Linked DNA regions of Lytechinus pictus. The protein of the gene in region 1 purifies or fractionates together with the protein of each later gene. This does not show direct contact. Links are inferred from orthologs where the notes say so. Each region holds a gene or a part of one and is shown on either strand. Other genes may lie near its edges. The genes, in order: vesicle transport protein USE1-like and RAD50-interacting protein 1-like.

Region 1 (10,764 bases):
TATATATATTTCCCGACAAAGGAAATTATAATTGGTATGGTGTCGAAAATCTGTCTATCTGACGGTCAATTGGATCGGTTACAGCCCGATAGACCGCGGGTCCGATAGACCGCGGGTCCGATAGCCCGCGGGTCCGATAGACCGCGGGTCCGATAGTCCGCGGGTCCGATAGACCGCGGGTCCGATAGACCGCGGGTCCGATAGTCCGCGGGTCCGATAGACCGCGGGTCCGATAGCCCGCGGTTTGTGTAAAAATAATGGTCAGGTTATATAGTGAGATCCAATGCCATCAAGAGGTCAAAAGGCCAATGATACGAGTCCATTGGGGTTCTATAACGATGACCCAAAGGACAATCGCCCCCTGAAATCTACTTCAAGGAAAATATTATCCCCATATTTTATCGTCAGGGACTGTTACCCCCCCCCCCCCCGGAAATTTACCCTCTAGACGCCATACGGAGCCATCGACTTGACGACATGGCGAGATACTTTATCTTGCCATGTCGACTAAATAATGGCGCGATACGTTATCCTGCCAAGTCAGTCCACTTATAAAAAGTTATATGTCAACATGGCGAGATATTTTATCTTGCCAAGTCGACTTAAATAAGTTACATGTCAACATAGCGATATATCGGGATTCTCGCCGGGGCTTGTACACTTCATATCTCGCCATGTGGACATATCGACTTGACAAGATAGAATATATCGCTATGTCAAAATAATAAGCGTATTAATTACTTAGGCGGCGGAAGCGGGGGGGGGGGCCTTTCCTCCTAAATTTGAGGTGGGGGACGGTCCCCCCTAGATTTTTAGTTGAGAACCTTTTTTTTGCTTGTCAATTTGTTTTCTACGTCCCCCCTAAATTGAGGTGGACCCCCCCTAAAATCTTTTTGTCCCCCTAATTTTGGTTTATAACCTTTTTTCTTGTCAAAAATTGTTCAAAATTGGTGGTCCTTCCTATAAATTTTGGTTGATTTGCTTGTCAATTTTTTTACCTGTGTCCATCCCAAAATTTCAGGTGGACCCCCCTAAATTTTTTTTGCCTTCCGCCGCCAATGATTAATTAAGACATGGCAAGATAAAGTACCACGCCATGTCGTCACGTTAATGGCATTTTCAAGGCTCCATACTAGGGGTAATTATCCGGGGTAATTATCTGGAGGGTAAATTTCCGGGGGGGGGGGGTATCAGTCCCCGCCGGTAAAAATATGGGGATAATATTTTCCTTGAAGTAGTTGTCAGGGGGTGATTGCCCTAATTGGGTTATTGTTATAGAACCCAGGCGCAGATCCAGGATTTCGTGGGGAGGGAGGGGGGGGGGGCACCAAGTTAAAAAAATAAATGAAATGGGGGGGGGGGTGGTAGACGTCAAAGAAAATCTGATATTTCATTCTTAAAAACAAATTGAGGTATCTCACAAGGCCTAAATAAATAATGAGAACGCGAAGCGCGATCTGATTTTTTTTGTATAGATTTATCATGTATTATATCCTGAAAGCCTAAGTCAGGGGCGGACCCAGCTTCCGCCATTAGGGGGAGGGGCCATTTTTTCACCCATATTTTCCCCGATCGGCCGCTCAAAGTTGATTTTTTTTTTTGTTTCTTTGAAGGGGTTGTCCCAGTGCCGTAATGAGCCAACAATTTCGAGGGGGATCGATATGGTGTATCGCATAAAATTAATAAGAAGTTGCCAGTGAGCGAAGCGAGCAAGCAAATATGCTGACATTTTTATTACAAAAACACAAGGTTGTGATAGATTTTGACATAATATTTGGAAAATAATATTATATTTCATCCTTATCCCTTTCCTTTTCTCTCTATTTTTTCTTAGTCTTGATTCTCTCTTCTTCTTTTTTTTTTTTTTGGGGGGGGGGGGGCAAAACACCCATGTCCTAACAGTCATTTCCTAGCTTTACTTTATAAGCAACATACATGTGTAATAATCTCTTAAGCCCTATGTAATCTAAAAATGAAATTTCATGTATTTTGTCCTGAAAATTGAACATTTTGGGCAATGTTTGTGAACCTGAACAGCGTATATAACTAGATAATTACCACGAGCGCGAAGCCGAGCAGAAATGTTAAATATTCGTTCTGGCCTGGTCGAAAAGGGACATGTTAAGGATGTTTTGCAGTTAGCCATTAAGACGATACATATTTCAACGATTAAATAATGCGAGCGCGAAGCGCGAGCTGAACATTTTTGATATTCCAACCTAAAAAGATGAGATTTCAAATCCCCCAATGGGACATTCGATTCATGTTTGTCAATCATGAAAAAGGATGGGTAATTTTTGGTATCTTCCTACAATAATAATGCGAGCGCAAAGCGCGAGCAAAATTTTTTTGATATTCTGATTCGAAACTGGATAATTTTAGCACGTTTTGAATAAGATCAAGCTTTGTATCCTAAAAACATGCGTGCGCGTGTTTTAGAGTTAGACAGAATCCTGGCAATCTGAATACATTTCATTTTTCATCATAAAAATCAATAATGCGAGCGCAGAGCCCGAGCTGAAAATAATATTTGAAATTCCGATATAAAAAGGGTCAATTTAAGCACTGTTTACAGCACTGTGTATATAGGGAAATTTGATAGCACTATAAAAATAATGCGAGCGCGAAGCGCGAGCTGATATTTTATTATTTATTTGACCTAGGATCGAGACATTTTAGGCCTAAGGACATTTTGTCATCATATAAGAATGATGACTATCTTCTCTTTGTTTTCCTAAAAATTTATTTCTGAAAAAGGGACAATTTAGTTATAATGAATTTATACAAATTTTATTTCATATTTATTAATCTGTTAAGCCTAATGAGTGTGTGAAATTTGTTGACAGTGCATGAGGCCTGAAAACTGGATATTTTAAGTATTTTTGTAATCATGAATAGGATTCATTGGTTGATATATTTTTAGCAAATAATGCGAGCGCAAATCGCGATCCGTATTTTTCTTTTAATGGGGGGATTTAAGTAGTTTGTTATAAAATTAATATATAGGTATACATAACTCACCAATCAAAACGCGAGCGCACAGCGCTAGCTCATAGGCCTTTATTATTATTATTTTTAATCGAGACACCTGAAAAGGTATATTTAGAGAATCTTATATTAAATATAAAAAGACAATACATAGGCCTACTTGGCATATAGTGCGAGCGCACAAAATGTTGCAAATGTTGATTCAAACCATAAAACGGACATTTTCCAGAGCACTTAAAACATAAATTGGTAAATAAGACAAAATAATGAAAGATCGATGTCCGAGCTGAATTATGTTTTGTATATTGATATCAAAACTTGATATTTTAAACTACATATCAGCCTATTGAGCTGTATTTATATACTGACTTAAGAAGGACTAAGGTATAATTCCTATTCTAATTGCTTGTCCTTTTCTCTTCCTTTTTTCTGTTTCTTACCCCTTTTTGCGCCACCATGGGGGGGGGGGCAAAATCTTTGCCCCCTGGATCGACCTATGTATGTTGACTTGAAAAACACTAACACTTACATGTGGGATTGAAGCAGAGGATGCATACCTCATTAATCAAATATTGCGAGCGCGTAGCGCGAGCTGAATTTGACAATAACCCTTTTTTGTGACCCTGAACAGGGTATCTATCTCGCTAAACAGACTTATAACTCGAAAACATTTTTTTTTCTGTTATCGTAAAAACGGGATATTTCAATTCAGCCGCATTAATTGAAGTTTTTTGGCAGGACATATATTTTACTATAAACAGGCAATGTTGCGTCCCCGGTCGAAAATGAATTTGCATGAAGCCCTCTAAGTTCAAGGTCAATTTGGCGCCCTCGGTTGAACATAAACTTGGCGCCCCCATCATGTGAAATATAACTTTGCCCTCCCTCCACTCTCTGAAACATGTATTTGTCGCATTATGGTCAAAATTCAAATTAGCGCTCCCCTAGTTCGAACATCAATTTGGTGCCCCGCTAGATCGAACATCAATTCGGCGCCCCATAGTTCGAACGTCATTTTGGCGCCATCAAATCGACGTCCAGGTCAACATCTCCCTCTTCCGTTTCCCATCTCCTTTTCTTTCTTTTTTCTTTCTTTTATCCTAATTCCCCTTCCTTCCTTTCTCTTTCTTTCTCTCTTTCTTTCCCCCTCTTCTTTTCCCCCCTTTCTTCTATTTCCCCCATCTTTTCTTTCCCCCTTTTCTTCTCTTTTTGCTGTCTTTTCTTTCCCTCTTTTCTTGTTTTTCCTCTCTTCCCACTTACTCTCGCTCTTTTTTCTTCTTCTTTTCCCCCTTTTCCTTACTCCGTTCTTTTCTTTTCCCTCTTCCACTTTTTTTCTCTTTTCCCCTTTACTTCTCCCTTTTTCTTTTTCTTTCCTTCTCCCTTTTTTCTCTTTTAATATTTTTTCTCCTCTCTCTCCCCTTCCTCCCTCTCTCTCTTTCTTCTCTTCTTTCCCTCTTCCTCTCTCTCTCTTTTTTCTTATCTTTCTTCCCATCTTCCTCTCTATTTAAATATTCTTCTCTTCGTTCCTCTTTTTTTTCTTCTTTTTCCTCCTTTTCCTTTCTCCTTTCTTTTCTTCTCTTCCTTTTCCCTCCTCTTTTTTCCCTCTTCTTTCCCCTTTTCTTCTCCCTTTTTTCTTTGTCTTTCCTTTCCCCTTTTTCTTCTCTTCCTTTCTCCTTCTTACTCTCTTTTCTATTCTCTTCTTTTCCCATCTTCCTCTTTCTTTTTTTATTCTCTCCCTTTTCCCCTCTTCGATCCCCCTCTTTTTTTTTAGCTGGGGGTGGGGGGGGGGGTGAGGCAGTTCCCCCTCGGCCCTCCATGGATCCGCACCTGATAGAACCCCATGGCCTCGTATCATTTGACCTTTGGACCTCTCGATAACATTTGATATATCTGATCATAATTTTACACACACTGCGGACTATCGGACCCGCGGACTATCGGACCCGCGGTCTATCGGACCCGCGGTCTATCGGACCCGCGGTCTAACGGACCCGCGGTCTATCGGACCCGCGGTCTATCGGGATGTCCCCATTGGATCGGGGTCTCCCTAGCCACTAACCCGTCTCTGTGGTCTAGTGGTTAAGGCACCGGCGTTCAAAGCTGGGGGCCCGGGTTCGATTCCCGGCAGAGACATTTTTTCGGCATCACCAATTTTTCCAAAAAGGGTAGATAGCTCTGGGGAACCTTGATTTAAGCTACGCCTACCATTGTTCTCTTCATCCATTTCTTTCACACAATATATATATATATATATATATAAATTCAATATTTTTTTTTTGCAATCATAGACTGATCAATCGATCCCTCCATCAGTGTACATGATGTTGTTGTTGTGGGTTTTTTTTCTCTGGTTTTATGTGTATGGTGTGGGGTTCCTGTCCCTCCGGATGATATATTTTGCTTAATTTCATTCATTCTGTACAAGTACTTTATGAATTTCATATTAAAAATCAGTTCAATGTAAAATATCATGATTAGCGATATGTACTTATGCATACTTACAGATACTACTTTTTATTTCCAAGTCAAATGAATGATAAAACAACTATGTATGTATATTTTTTGTTTGTATCATGTTACAAAAAAGTGATATTGTCTTGATGATGTATTGAAAGAATTCAATAAATAACAACTTAAAACAAAAAATATTGTTCTATCATCCGGCTGCCATATCCATTGTATTACTTCAAGTAACAGCTGTCATAAAAAATAAACTGAGGTGAACTTGACCACTATTATTATTTTTTTGTGTAATAATGCCCCCGTCCGAAATTTTAGAATTTTTTTTTCACGAGAGAAAATTAGGATTCCTTATAAATCACTAACTCTAATTTTAGAATCTTCATAAAAAATCAAGACAGAGATCGAGATTGAGAGATGTCTTCGAAATTGGTTGATAACTTCAGTGTCAGACGGGCGATGAGCAGAATATTAACATCACATTTGCGTCAGTTTTGTCCACGTCACTTATTTCTCATCTGATTGTAACGACACTAACGTTATCCTTTTTTATATCAAAGATGCCAGCTTCTCGTGAAGAAGTAAATTTCCAACGACTTTTAATAAGATGTGAAGAAATGGCTGCGGAAAATAGATCGGGGGATTGGCGCCTGGAAAAGGTAAGCCGATTTTGCGAATGCATCCATCGCCAGCGCTAACGTCAGTCTGGCCCGCACCGGCCCCGGCCCGGCTCGGCGCATGACGGGCCGGTAATCCTTACTGCGGCAGCCCGAACACTAACCCAGAGAGCTCCCGCTCTCTGGCCAGTCTGGGTTACCCGAACACGTATGGTAGTGGATCGTATTACCGAACACTTTTCATGAATTCAATCATATCAAGCACATTATTCTCATAAAATTCACCAAACTTTCACCATAAATACACAATTACCTACAAAATATAAATATGTAAAATTTTTGCCGAAATAGTTTTTCCTTTTTACGATTTTTGCTTCCAATCGGACCCCTCTTCGCATGTGAAATATTTTGGTCACTTGAAAAAGGTATCGTATTACCGAACGTGTGTTTTCTATGGGAAAAGTTGAGAAAACAACAAAATCACTGATGAGCTATTTTGACCATATTTTATTGTTTTTAGAATATTAAGACTTTGAAAATGTGTTTTTGACAATTTTTCATCATCTTTCTATTCAAGTTCTCTTTGGAAGGATGTTGCGAAATTTTGAATGTATGAATTTTTTTTCTGATGCGTATGAATGATGCGCGCGTTCGGTAATACAAGGCCGGTCGGTAATACAATCACTCACTATACTAAAGACGTCGTGTCGAGGTTCCCGGGGCAAGGTAATCCCGGTATGCTGCGCCGCCGAATCGGAATAGTCAGTCAGACTCACATACGGAAATGCCGCTGGAGAAGTTACCGGCCCAGAAAGGTCATCCTAGAATATATGACAGTCACTTTTCTAGACCAAAAGCTTCAGTCTCTGTAATACTGTATTTTGGTTGTTCCGCCGAACTGCGTTGGCTCACTTATCACCAATACATTTATAGTAAAATGTCAGAAATTGTTGAATAAATCCCCAGAAACGACGGTTATTCCTGTCTATCAGTATCAGTTTTATTTATCACTTTTCGTGCTATTGCCTATTGGCATTGCTAGGAAGGTGTGCATTCTTCCAATCCAAGGTCTAACAAGTTAGATCTAGACTAGACAGCTGGCAGCCGTCTGTTTCGAGGAGTTTTTGAACATTTTTTTTTTTTTTCTCGTGAGTGAAGCCAACGGAGTTCAGTGGAACAACCAACATAAGTATAACAGGGACCGAAGCTTTTGGTCTAGATCTAGACTAGACAGCAGCTGGCAGCCGTCTGTTTCGAGGAGTTTTTAAACATTAAAAAAAAAATTATCCTCGTACACAGACAGGTTGTACACAGATGGCTGAGTCACGATCGCGAGCCATGTGCAGCTGCCATTTGGGGGTTAACAATGCAAAATCCCTCCGATGGGGCTTATCAATTTTTGTCTTAATTTCATAAAAATATATAATAATAACTGGACCAAAATAAAGATTATTATTCCGTTTTGGCCTGAAATGCACCAAAACGGAAAAAAATAAACTTAAATTAATAAAATTCTACCACTACAGTACCATCAATATCAAAGTCCTTACCACTTGCTCACTGCAACCATCCTGCCTGTGGGGAATCTACAGGTAGGACTATGGTATGCCAATGCTGTACACAGCACACACTTTAAAAAATCATTAAAATGTCACTTTTGTGACCAAAATTACTATTCCATAAAGTTGCAATTTATTTTTCATTAGTAACCAGGGACTAATTTTTGTATTCACCAGAGCGCTCAAAAACTAAAATTTTGGGCACATTTTTGTGTACGCCCTCTATTGGTGGAAAGTAATATGGTAAGAAAATTTTCATTTTTCAATCTCTATTTTTAATTAAGAAAAAATAATTTAAAGAATCAAATTTACTTAAGAGCCAAGTTATATGATGAATAGCTGTAATGGAAACAGACAGTGTAAAAAAATCAAGCATTTGTCCCAAAGAAAAAGAGAAAATAAGCCAAACATTGCTACCCTTATTTTGCAACACATGGAGATGTAACTGAGAACAAGGTTATATCATAACCTTGTTCATTGAATGAGTGGTCCTTACATGCTTTACAAGAGGTCTAACACAAACAGTTAAATGGATGTATAATTCACAGAGCAAAATGCTGAAAATTTCATCAAAATCGGATAACAAATAATGAAGTTATTGAATTTTAAAGTTTATCAATATTTTGTGAAAACAGCTATATGCACATCGTCATGAATATTCATTAGGTAGGCTGATGATGTCACACTCACATCCCCACTTTCCTTTTTCTTATGTTACATGAAATCATAAATGTTTCATTTTTTTCATACATGTGTAAATGATGTGTCTCCATTATGATGAAATAAGTTGCGGCAATAAATAACTAATGCACTTAATCAGTTGTCAATCCAATTGATTGAGTTCTTGGTAGAAATTTTTTAAATAAATCTAATTCCATATAATAAAATACAAAAGAACAAGTGGGGATATGACATCATCAGCCCACCTAATGAATATTCATAAAGACATGCCTAGACCTGTTTCACCAGAATAATGCAAATCATTAAAATTCAATAAACTTTCTTATTTGTTATCCAATTTCGATCAAATTTTAAGCATTTTGCTTTGTGAATTTTACTCTATTTAGATATAAATATCTCAAGTCTGGACCATCCCTTTAAGTTTAATCAACTGCAGAAATGAATACAAATTAAATGCACAATATTTAAAGTTGAAGAAGCTTTGATTAAAATTTTGTTTGTTTCTGATGCAATGGCAATGCCAATGGTGATGTTTAAGAATTAAAATGATGCAGCTACTATAAACCAAGTTGACTCTTTCTAATCTAATTTCCACCCACTGATTTTGGATTAGGCTAATGTCTGTATAATCATTTTTATCTTTCTCCACAGTATGTCTGTGCACTACAAGATAAGCTAGCAGACTTGAAAAAATCTCAAATGTAAGTATATAAGCTACATGCATCTTAATCGTGGTATAATTGAAATAATTCATCTCGTCATGAAATTTTGAGTTTGGGAATTAATGATGAATATTCTTTTAATTTGTGGGGATTTTTTAACAGAACTTTGAGAAAATCGCATTCGACTTAAGATAGTAAAATGTACTTTTAATATCAAGTGCTTGAATGGGTAATTTATTTTTTTTTAATTGAGGGAGCCAAACTATTTTGGAATGAGAATTGTACAATAGCCTCTCGACAAACATTGCTTTTTTTTTCACCAGGCCTGGTAGTTTTACAAACTCTCTATCAGCCAGTCAGACACCAAGAATTCAACAGTTATAATTCTGTTATTAAAACAAGTTTCATAAAACGGGACAGTCAGGGACACTGGAGTTTATATTCTATGATTGTTAGAAATCCTAATCAGATCCTTTTGACCCTTTTGTGATATCATTAACAGGAAACCAGCTGCTGAACTGATGCAGGATTACAGTAAGAAGGTTGATTTTCTAAAAGAAGTTATTCAGATGGAAAAGTTGGTAAGGCCAAGACCTGTAATATAAAATACGCCCAAAGTGTGACATATACCACCTCAAAAAAAAAGAGATGTGACTTCGAAATTAAAAGAGTCGCCAATTGGTATCTTCATACTGCTTGAAGGATGAAGAAATAGAAGAATGTTGGGAAACATTCTAATATTGATGGACCTATTTTTCTTTACATTCAAAACAAATATTCACAGCTAGCTCAGCGTGGTTTTGAATGTATGGGGTGTCTTTCATTTGTTGGTTTAATTTCAGTGTGTTTCATGTCAGGGAAAACAATCCATGGGGGTCAAAATGCTCAAAGAAGCCCTGGAAACTACTATAAAAAAAAAAGGAGCCCTTGAAATTCCCATTCATTGCAGTGTTAAAGCTTAAATCCAATTTTGCAGATTTAGGCAGTAAGTTGTGAAAAGTAGCCCCTGTAAATTCAAAAACTGTTTTCTGCCTGTTTCATATTCTAGCCATCAGCCAGTGAGAAAGCTATGAAGACCCAGTTACTAGCTCCAGCGAAGACATCTGGTATCCAGCACCCCAACTCACCAACCGTGAAGAGATCCAAAGACCTTCATCAACAGCTGTCTTCAAGATATGCTAATGAGATGAGGAAAGAGCTACTAGGAGATGTGAGTACCCTTGGGGGGGGGGGGAGGGGGAAGGGGGGGTCTATGATCAACCAGTGTCATATCTAGACTAGGGTGATGGGGGAATGCACCTTTTTGCCAAATTACTTTTACGAGGTGCTTAAAAGGCTTAACTGATGGGGTTGGGACAAATAGTGATGGTCAGATCTCATGGACAACCAAGAAAAAAACACCAGCATTGAACTATTCACAATGTTATTTTATGTGCTGAAATTTCAACAATTGCGTGTACCTAAACTTTTATTATTTCCTTGTTCTAAAATTTGATGAATGTGTAAATTTTATATGTAAACAGTTTCCAGTCAACGTTGTATGTACTCTTTCTACCTCTTGATTTCCTTAGGAGTGCTTTTTTTCCTAGATTGTTTTGACCCAAAACAATGACTTGTTTCAATATATTATTATTTCTCCCTTTTTTTTAAATACAGAATGACACTTTTTCAAGTACAAATGGTGTCAGACAAAGAAGGTAAGACTGATGCTAATTTTCTAGAAATATAAAGAATCTTAATTGAAATTGGAAGTGTATCACTGTATGCAGTCAATTTTTGTGTACTATGTCTTTTGAA
Region 2 (10,610 bases), on another chromosome or scaffold:
CCCCCCCCCCCCCCCGGCCATATGAACTCCCAAAATACCCCGGCCTAGATAGAGGGAGATGTTCGGATGAGATGGTGATGAAAAGGATGTTGAAGGTTGATGATGGTGGTGATTATGATGATGGTGATGAAAATGAAGGTGGTGGTGACGATAGAAAGAATAAGATTATTGTGATTAAAGTGATGAAGAACTTAAGAAGATGATGATGATGCAGATAAAGATGATGATGATGCTGCTGATAATAATGAACAAGAAAGAAAGAAGGATGACATAAATAGTACGTTGAAATTCATTATAGTCGGCAATTAGACTTTTCTGTACTAACCAGCTGTAATATAGAGTTATGCGAGTCAGAAAGCGGTACAATGATTGAAACTAGTGACCAAAATTCATATGTTCATCTCCAGAAGTTATTACATAACGTGATAATTCAAGTCATCAAAAAGTGAATATGTAAATAAGACGGTTTGAGGATTCGGTTTATTTTCATTTGATCCAATGCCAATTCATCCAATTGCTAACTCGTCTACTATGAGGAGTCCAGTAAGAATGAGTCACAATAGATAAACTGAACTTGTTCACAATGTAAACGGAAATTACGTGAGAAAAACAAATTTTTAATGCAGATGTATGTGCGTGTTATAGTATTAATATCACCTCACAATCCAAATTGTTAGCTTGAAAGTACGTATTACAATTTTTGATCATCATATGAGATCTTATTTCAAGTTAAAATGCCCTGCATGTACATGTATATGTCATGCGATTTATTCATTTTTTTTTAGATAGGCCTAAGTAGAAGTGATAAAAAGAGGAAATATCAGCATAAGAATGGCAACAAGTGGGGGTAAGGGGTAGACTTCATCCAATTTAGCTTGGCAAAATATTCAGTTCTGACAGAGCGAGTACCACTCAGACGAATGTGCCCCCCAACTTGTCAATTTTCCGCTGGATAGACATGGCAGGGGCGGATCCAGCTCTCACTGATAGGGGGGGGGGCGGCAGTTTTGTTTTCATGCATATTTTTATCAGTCACTTCTTGCTTTATTCTTATTTTTTTTAAATGAAATAATCTCATAAGCCCTATTAGATTTTTTTTTTAATCTCAAGTTTTGTCCTGAAAATTTAACATTCTGTGGAACTTGAATGTTTGTGATCCTGGGCAAGATGCGTATAGATTTAAGTGCGAGCGCCAAAGCGCGAGCGGAAATTCTTTCAACAATTAAAATAATGCCAGCGCGAGTTGAAAATTTCAACATTCCGACCTAAAAAAGGCCATTCCAACCTAAAAAAAGGCCATTCCAAGCACTTTGTAATCATGAAAGGTATAGGTCATGCATAACTAAACAATTAATGCGAGTGGAAGAAAATTGAGATTTTAGACCTAAAAACAGGACACTACGTTTTGTAAATCATAATTCCTCCATTAATAATGCGAGCATGAAGCGTGAGCAGAAAATCGCACATCGATCGATCAGAAATTTATCTTGACTCTTTAGACTTTTTTATTAGAGTAAAGCCCCCCCCCCCCCCCCCCAAAAAAAAGCCTTACTTTAATCTACAGGTACAAGTAATCAGGGGCGTAGCGGATCTGATCAGCTTCGAGCGCATGCGCTAGATACCGGTACACGTACCGTACGCTGCCCAATCGTCGCTCAGTTTACGTATTTTCCTTTATGTTTCATTCAATGAGCTACGATATGCTTACTTCCATATGTCATCTGAAAGCGAAAATACTGGAAAATCGTTTCATAGGATAATAATTATATGTCTTAGAAGCCCCGCTGCGTAATTCGCCGTTTTTGGCACCCCTTGCGCCTGCCCAATCGCCGCTCACCATTGCCCTAACTCCGCTCGCTTAGCGCGCGCATTCATACATGGTGTTAAGGCCTGATACTGTCTAACTCTTTTTTCTACCCTTTTCTCTTGCACTTCTGAGTGAGAAAGTGTGTAATTTTGTTCTGATTAAATGTATTGTATACAAGTTTTATAGTACTATACACTGTATAAAATGTTTCTTTCGCCAAGTGCAATTATTTTTAGGGCCTCAAAGTAACTTTTTGTTACTGATCTACGCCTTTATATCGGTTTTTTTTATCCTCCAAACTTTATTCCGTATTTTTTATAAAATACATATTTTCAAAAAACCTTTCCCGACAAACTTTTAACTGATTTCAATTGTCTAATAATATGAATATGATTCTAATCCATTCGTGAATTTTATGAGTATATTATTATTTATTTATTCATTTCGGAAATGAAAAGTATATGAAATTGGAACAATTAATGTAATACAACATTAACAGAGTATATAGATTGAGCACCCACTGGGTCAAATAAATTACTGTTGTCAATAAAGACCATGACCCTAACCAGTGCTATAATAAGGGTGCTTACAAAAAATCGGAAGCGGATAAAAGAGTCAGCATGAACAAAAATGTTTAAAGAACAATATATATAATAGAATAACATGCTTGATATAGTTAAGTTAACTTAATTAACTTAAAATATGAATATTGATGAATTTACATTCTTATAAATAAAACGCTATAAAACTCTTTTAGCACATTCGCCATTCAAAGTAATCATTTTCGCCACTCATCCAACTTGAGTGCCCCCCCCCCCCTTGTCGTCCCTTCCGCTCATCGCCCCCAGATGCCATTGGCCATTGATTTCCATTATTATTTTTTTTTTTTTGAAATAATTATTTGCATCCTCCTTCAGGTTCTAAATCAAATTTGTTGCTTTTACACTATCTTGACTCATTATTTATCAAGTATATATGTATTCGTGTATCCCACTTTTTTGTTTACTCTTTACTTTTTCTTGTCGTATTGATATTTTATGGGACTCTCACTGCATAATTCTTTGGAGCCTTCAACCAACAAGCTTTGCTTTTACTTTTAGCTCCCTCATATCCACATCTCTCATTTTCTTTCTTTGTCATAATTTTAGAACCAATTACAAGAATACATTCTAGTACTTTTTTCTATTGTTATATTATGTACACATTTCATATTTTTACGATGTTTATTTATGCTTATCTATGAAAACTTGTAGGCCTATTGTATAATATTATTGTTTGTATTGAATTGTTGATTTTTTGAAAATGTGAAATGTTGATGTGCATAAACCTTGAACCCTGAACTCCGATAATATTTTTGGGGGGATTCCCTTATATTGACTTTCATTAAAAAAAAGCTCATCTTGAAAAACAACAATAAATATTTAATCACCTCGCTGGTTTAAGTTCATATTCGAACTTCCGTCAATAATAGGAGAGGGAAAAAGGCACTCAAAAAAATTATATTTGTTCAAAATAAATTGGTCAATTTAAATCCTGTTCCGTTTTCAAACAAAACACAATTAAAAAAAGGAAATCTCCAGAAACATGACAAAGTTTCATCTATTCAAATCAATCAGGAAACTACTGACCGAGTTCAAAAGGCCTATATATAGGCCCATTAGTGGGAGATTTTTTCTTATTTATTCATTTAAATTCTTTATTTTATTTAGATTTATAGATATGAATCAGATAGGCATGCAGATAATGCATATGGGCCTACCATAAAATATATGTATCATTAGGCTCATAAGTTATCACATATAGGCCTAATTACACATCTATTTCCATCATTCCAATTAAATTATCCCTAAATGTCATACTCTGAGTAAATAATATTGGTAATCATCAAAATATGAATACGCCACATAAAAAAAACAGTATTACGATCGATAATAGCCTAGAAGACATGCCAGCCTGCCAGGGGCCGCGGAACCGGGGGAGGGGCTTCACCCCAGAACAAAAAAAAAAACTATCCCTATATCTCTAAGTTGTTTGTACGTCGGTATTTAGTGATAAACATCGAAGTCTCATTTTTTAGCATTGATGACCCTACGATTCGTTATAGAGCAAGATAATTTTTGTAAAACTTTTTCCCAAACACTTTGGGCCGGGACAATGATTACAATTAAATCTCGAAATATTTCTGGTGAACAGTGACAAACTCTTTTGATCATCTTTCAACATTTCTGTAAACGTCAGCTTATCTGCCTGCTCCATGATAAATCGTTGACGACCGAGGGGCTTTTATTTGCCGTCACCCTCAGCTAAAGGGAGAGAGAGGGGGAGATAGAGAAGAAATCATAGGAGAAGTGAGAGAGGAAAATGTAAAAGAGTATAAAGAAGAAAAAATGGCCGCGTCGCAAAAAAGACAACGGAAGAGGTATCAATCAAGGCCGGAATAGGAAAATAATGAAATGAAAAAAAAAAGATTAAGAGGAAGGAAAATAAAAGGAAGAAGACAAGACGAAAATGAGAGTTGGGGGACCGACAAATACCTGTCCCCTTCATTTAGAACAAAATAACTATTCAGCCTGCGCTTCGCACCCGCATTGCCCGTTTGTTTCATTATTCATGTCTTGTTTTCAAGTCATTCTCGGTTTGTAACATAAAACATCATTACAAAAGTGCTTAAAATGTCTCGGTTTTTTCTCTGAATCAGGGGCGGAAATCTCTCCCAAAAAGTAGGGGGGGGGGGGGCAAGGGGCTGGAAAATTTGACAAGCAAAAAATTATGAATTATGACCTGAAATAAATTCAGACATTCCTACATTGTTTACACTTAATTTTCATCTCATATTAAATTCACGAGTTGAATTAGTAGAGTAATCAGGCGTTACCATGGCAACATACCATTATCATGCATTCAAATGAACTTATATCCATGCAGAACACTCTGTTGTTTTCGATATTTAAGTCAAACCTACATAGATTTTGGCATTTTCATTGTCATTTTCCACCATTCATCTTTTCCCACCATAATGTTGATTTATGATGGCAATTCAATAAATGCCCCCAACGTCATTGGCCAAAGTTCCGTCATTGACCTTAAATTACCTTTGACCGTGGCATGACCTGAAACTCACTATAGGATTTTCACTGACTCCCTTATTTCGAAGTTTCATGATAGCTATAAAAACCTGTAGGCCTATTTCAAACTTATGATTACATTTCACAAACTTATCCTGTTTTAAGATTTCAATGTTTACGACGCCGCCCGCGCGGCGCCGTCGGAAAAAGCGGCGCTCTGCATGTCTCTGCAGGCAATCAAGACAATTGTATTTTTCTGCGGGAAAGATAAGCCGTTACCATGGCAATGTATCTTTTGCAAATACTTTGATGACTTGATAGGCCTATATCTAGAAATTGAATTTGGAAGGCTTAAGAATGATAGATTGGACCATTTAAATTGACAGGGTAATGTGCCATATATATAGGATCAACTTTTTTTTTAAACATATTAATCAGTTGCCATGGCAACGGCGGAAGGAGGCATTTATGAAACTGGCAACAAGCGGATTCATGTTCAGCACCATCAAAATAGAGGAAATGACACAAAAAATCAGATTTTAAAGAAAAGTCTACTTGAAAAATTATGACAATTCCGTTTAGGCCCTATACTCTTACAATGATTATCATACACAATCAGGGTGAGCGGAGTTAGGGCAGGCTGCTATCTCAAGGTATGCCCTCGCTAATTCATTCACACAACAAATATTCATTCTAGAAAAAATTGTCATGACGACATATCAGGACCTCCCGCACCTACGAATCTCACATTTTCATTCATCATATAAGAATATAACATTTTTCACTGTTTTTAGGAGTTTTTAAAGTGATTGAAAAAAAACGTAATTTGGTGCAGTTGCGGTACAGTTGATCGAAGTTCAAACAGTTATCGGGTTACTTTACATTTAAAGCAGTATTTCACGATGATTTATTAAGGGATTGATTTTATTTTTCCACACTTTGTTTTTTCATGTAATGGTCTCCTCTTGGGTGCTTAATTATGCGAGTATACTAAACTATAAGGAATTTGGGACGAATTTAAAATGATAATCATAATAAGCAGCGTGCGCATCGCGCTTGTGAGGGTGAGCGAGAATTGGGCAGCGTACGGTACGTACGTACGTACGTACACGTAAAAAAAAAAAAAAAAAAAAGGATGAAGAAAAAACTTTGCGACGATGGCTGAGAAGGGACCACATCAAGAATCGGGCTCATCATTGCCTGGATATTCGGATGAAATACGTCGAATGATTGATATGCAGATAGGAAATGATATCAAAAAGCTCTCTGTTACCGAAGATATGCTTAAGGATGCACTTGAGGAAAAGGCAAGGATAGAACAAGAGGTAAATTGTTCAGATCTGTTTATACCTTAGACTGTAGTCCCACACCCTCGCATTGACGTAGGATAGCCTAGTCAGGAGCCGGAGCACTCGTCAAGTCAATCTAACCCAGGGGCATGGCCAGGCTAGCCAGGCGGCTTCTAGAGAGTAAAAATCATTTACTAACGTAAGGTTACTCTCATACGAAGCCAGGCATTCCTCCCCATTCATCTGCGTGTACTGCAAAAAACCCTGAAACTTTCGCCCCCAAGATTTCTACTTTCCTTCTAAAAGATCTAGGGCCTAGCTCTAAATCATGTAAATGGGATAAAACTTCATTTCCGACATTTCTACGCTCTCGTTGTTATTTAGAAAACAAGAATTCATCAAAAAAATGAAAAAATATGGCATAATTGTACTTGATGCCCCCAGGGGACATCAACGTTTTTACCTTTTGGTACTCCTTGATTTCCCGATGATTCTTCGTTACCAAAATGTAAACATTTCTTTTCTCACTATAAAAAAAAATAGAAAGTAGTTCTGGTTTGCGCTAGCGCACCCCATATGAGATGCGAGTACAAATGCGCAAACAGGTGCATCTAGATGAGCGCGCATCCTTGCCTCCTCATCTATCCTCTTATATTACTTGCACTTGATGCCCCCAAAATTGATGAAAGCAGTGATCCGGCGAGTAATCCTAGAAGTGTTGACAAAATTAACCTTGATAGCTAGAGAATAAACTCTCTATTATTACTTGTACTTGATGCCCCCAAGTTTTCCAGTTATTCAGCACGTTTATTCAGAAGTTTACATTCCACTAACCCCATTTCCCCTCTTTTTCTATTTTCTAGCCGCGCAAGCCTTCATAACATCGTCGAAACGAATTAACCTTGTTGGCTAAATTAACCTTGATAGCTAGAGAATAATCTCTCTATTATTACTTGTACTTGATGCCCCCAAAAATTTCAACAAAATTAACCTTGTAGCCAAAATTAACCTTGTTGGCAAAATTAACCTTGAGAGCTAATGTAACCTTGAGAGCTATAGCTTGTCTCTCTTATATTACTTGCACTTGATGCCCCCAAAATTTCAACAAAATTAACCTTGTAGCCAAAATTAACCTTGTTGGCAAAATTAACCTTGATAGCTAATGTAACCTTGAGAGCTAAAGCTCGTCTCTCTTATATTACTTGTACTTGATGCCCCCAAAAATTTCAACAAAATTAACCTTGTAGCCAAAATTAACCTTGTTGGCAAAATTAACCTTGATAGCTAATGTAACCTTGAGAGCTATAGCTCGTCTCTCTTATATTACTTGCACTTGATGCCCCCAAAAATTTCAACAAAATTAACCTTGTAGCCAAAATTAACCTCGTTGGCAAAATTAACCTTGATAGCTAATGTAACCTTGAGAGCTATAGCTCGTCTCTCTTATATTACTTGTACTTGATGCCCCCAAAAATTTCAACAAAATTAACCTTGTAGCCAAAATTAACCTTGTTGGCAAAATTAACCTTGATAGCTAATGTAACCTTGAGAGCTAAAGCTCGTCTCTCTTATATTACTTGTACTTGATGCCCCCAAAAATCTCAACAAAATTAACCTTGTAGCCAAAATTAACCTTGTTGGCAAAATTAACCTTGATAGCTAATGTAACCTTGAGAGCTAAAGCTCGTCTCTCTTATATTACTTGTACTTGATGCCCCCAATTACTTTATTTGTTGCGCGATCAACCGAACCACGCGCGGATGGATATCAACTCGCCGATGATAAACAGGGTCAGGTCGAGGATCCACGAATCAAGGTAAAAAAGTTGATGTCCCCTGGGGGCATCAAGTATCCTTGCCTCCTCATGAACGTTTTTACCTTTTGGTACTCCTTGATTTCCCGATGATTCTTCGTTACAAAAATGTAAACATTTCTTTTCTCACTATAAAAAAAAATAGAAAGTAGTTCTGGTTTGCGCTAGCGCACCCCATATGAGATGCGAGTACAAATGCGCAAACAGGTGCATCTAGATGAGCGCGCATCCTTGCCTCCTCATCTATCCTCTTATATTACTTGCACTTGATGCCCCCAAAATTGATGAAAGCAGTGATCCGGCGAGTAATCCTAGAAGTGTTGACAAAATTAACCTTGATAGCTAGAGAATAAACTCTCTATTATTACTTGTACTTGATGCCCCCAAGTTTTCCAGTTATTCAGCACGTTTATTCAGAAGTTTACATTCCACTAACCCCATTTCCCCTCTTTTTCTATTTTCTAGCCGCGCAAGCCTTCATAACATCGTCGAAACGAATTAACCTTGTTGGCTAAATTAACCTTGATAGCTAGAGAATAATCTCTCTATTATTACTTGTACTTGATGCCCCCAAAAATTTCAACAAAATTAACCTTGTAGCCAAAATTAACCTTGTTGGCAAAATTAACCTTGAGAGCTAATGTAACCTTGAGAGCTATAGCTCGTCTCTCTTATATTACTTGCACTTGATGCCCCCAAAATTTCAACAAAATTAACCTTGTAGCCAAAATTAACCTTGTTGGCAAAATTAACCTTGATAGCTAATGTAACCTTGAGAGCTAAAGCTCGTCTCTCTTATATTACTTGTACTTGATGCCCCCAAAAATTTCAACAAAATTAACCTTGTAGCCAAAATTAACCTTGTTGGCAAAATTAACCTTGATAGCTAATGTAACCTTGAGAGCTATAGCTCGTCTCTCTTATATTACTTGCACTTGATGCCCCCAAAAATTTCAACAAAATTAACCTTGTAGCCAAAATTAACCTCGTTGGCAAAATTAACCTTGATAGCTAATGTAACCTTGAGAGCTATAGCTCGTCTCTCTTATATTACTTGTACTTGATGCCCCCAAAAATTTCAACAAAATTAACCTTGTAGCCAAAATTAACCTTGTTGGCAAAATTAACCTTGATAGCTAATGTAACCTTGAGAGCTAAAGCTCGTCTCTCTTATATTACTTGTACTTGATGCCCCCAAAAATCTCAACAAAATTAACCTTGTAGCCAAAATTAACCTTGTTGGCAAAATTAACCTTGATAGCTAATGTAACCTTGAGAGCTAAAGCTCGTCTCTCTTATATTACTTGTACTTGATGCCCCCAATTACTTTATTTGTTGCGCGATCAACCGAACCACGCGCGGATGGATATCAACTCGCCGATGATAAACAGGGTCGGGTCGAGGATCCACGAATCAAGGTAAAAAAGTTGATGTCCCCTGGGGGCATCAAGTATCCTTGCCTCCTCATGAACGTTTTTACCTTTTGGTACTCCTTGATTTCCCGATGATTCTTCGTTACCAAAATGTAAACATTTCTTTTCTCACTATAAAAAAAAATAGAAAGTAGTTCTGGTTTGCGCTAGCGCACCCCATATGAGATGCGAGTACAAATGCGCAAACAGGTGCATCTAGATGAGCGCGCATCCTTGCCTCCTCATCTATCCTCTTATATTACTTGCACTTGATGCCCCCAAAATTGATGAAAGCAGTGATCCGGCGAGTAATCCTAGAAGTGTTGACAAAATTAACCTTGATAGCTAGAGAATAAACTCTCTATTATTACTTGTACTTGATGCCCCCAAGTTTTCCAGTTATTCAGCACGTTTATTCAGAAGTTTACATTCCACTAACCCCATTTCCCCTCTTTTTCTATTTTCTAGCCGCGCAAGGCTTCATAACATCGTCGAAACGAATTAACCTTGTTGGCTAAATTAACCTTGATAGCTAGAGAATAATCTCTCTATTATTACTTGTACTTGATGCCCCCAAAAATTTCAACAAAATTAACCTTGTAGCCAAAATTAACCTTGTTGGCAAAATTAACCTTGAGAGCTAATGTAACCTTGAGAGCTATAGCTCGTCTCTCTTATATTACTTGCACTTGATGCCCCCAAAATTTCAACAAAATTAACCTTGTAGCCAAAATTAACCTTGTTGGCAAAATTAACCTTGATAGCTAATGTAACCTTGAGAGCTAAAGCTCGTCTCTCTTATATTACTTGTACTTGATGCCCCCAAAAATTTCAACAAAATTAACCTTGTAGCCAAAATTAACCTTGTTGGCAAAATTAACCTTGATAGCTAATGTAACCTTGAGAGCTATAGCTCGTCTCTCTTATATTACTTGCACTTGATGCCCCCAAAAATTTCAACAAAATTAACCTTGTAGCCAAAATTAACCTTGTTGGCAAAATTAACCTTGATAGCTAATGTAACCTTGAGAGCTAAAGCTCGTCTCTCTTATATTACTTGTACTTGATGCCCCCAAAAATCTCAACAAAATTAACCTTGTAGCCAAAATTAACCTTGTTGGCAAATTAACCTTGATAGCTAATGTAACCTTGAGAGCTAAAGCTCGTCTCTCTTATATTACTTGTACTTGATGCCCCCAATTACTTTATTTGTTGCGCGATCAA

The links.
Region 2: the proteins of vesicle transport protein USE1-like (region 1) and RAD50-interacting protein 1-like purify together in Homo sapiens (co-immunoprecipitation; 3 studies listed by BioGRID and IntAct, counting the BioPlex papers as one, with this or other methods). This does not show direct contact. The link is inferred for Lytechinus pictus from reciprocal best matches to the Homo sapiens genes USE1 and RINT1.

The regions. Positions count from the first base shown.
Region 1 is NC_087249.1:30,179,025-30,189,788, reverse strand, and holds the start of vesicle transport protein USE1-like, read left to right. Parts: upstream 1-5,823; 5' UTR 5,824-6,008; coding exon 6,009-6,107; intron 6,108-8,956; coding exon 8,957-9,006; intron 9,007-9,469; coding exon 9,470-9,548; intron 9,549-10,015; coding exon 10,016-10,177; intron 10,178-10,623; coding exon 10,624-10,664; intron 10,665-10,764.
Region 2 is NC_087254.1:36,488,414-36,499,023, reverse strand, and holds the start of RAD50-interacting protein 1-like, read left to right. Parts: upstream 1-5,998; 5' UTR 5,999-6,029; coding exon 6,030-6,197; intron 6,198-10,610. UniProt on the Homo sapiens protein: Involved in regulation of membrane traffic between the Golgi and the endoplasmic reticulum (ER); the function is proposed to depend on its association in the NRZ complex which is believed to play a role in SNARE assembly at the ER.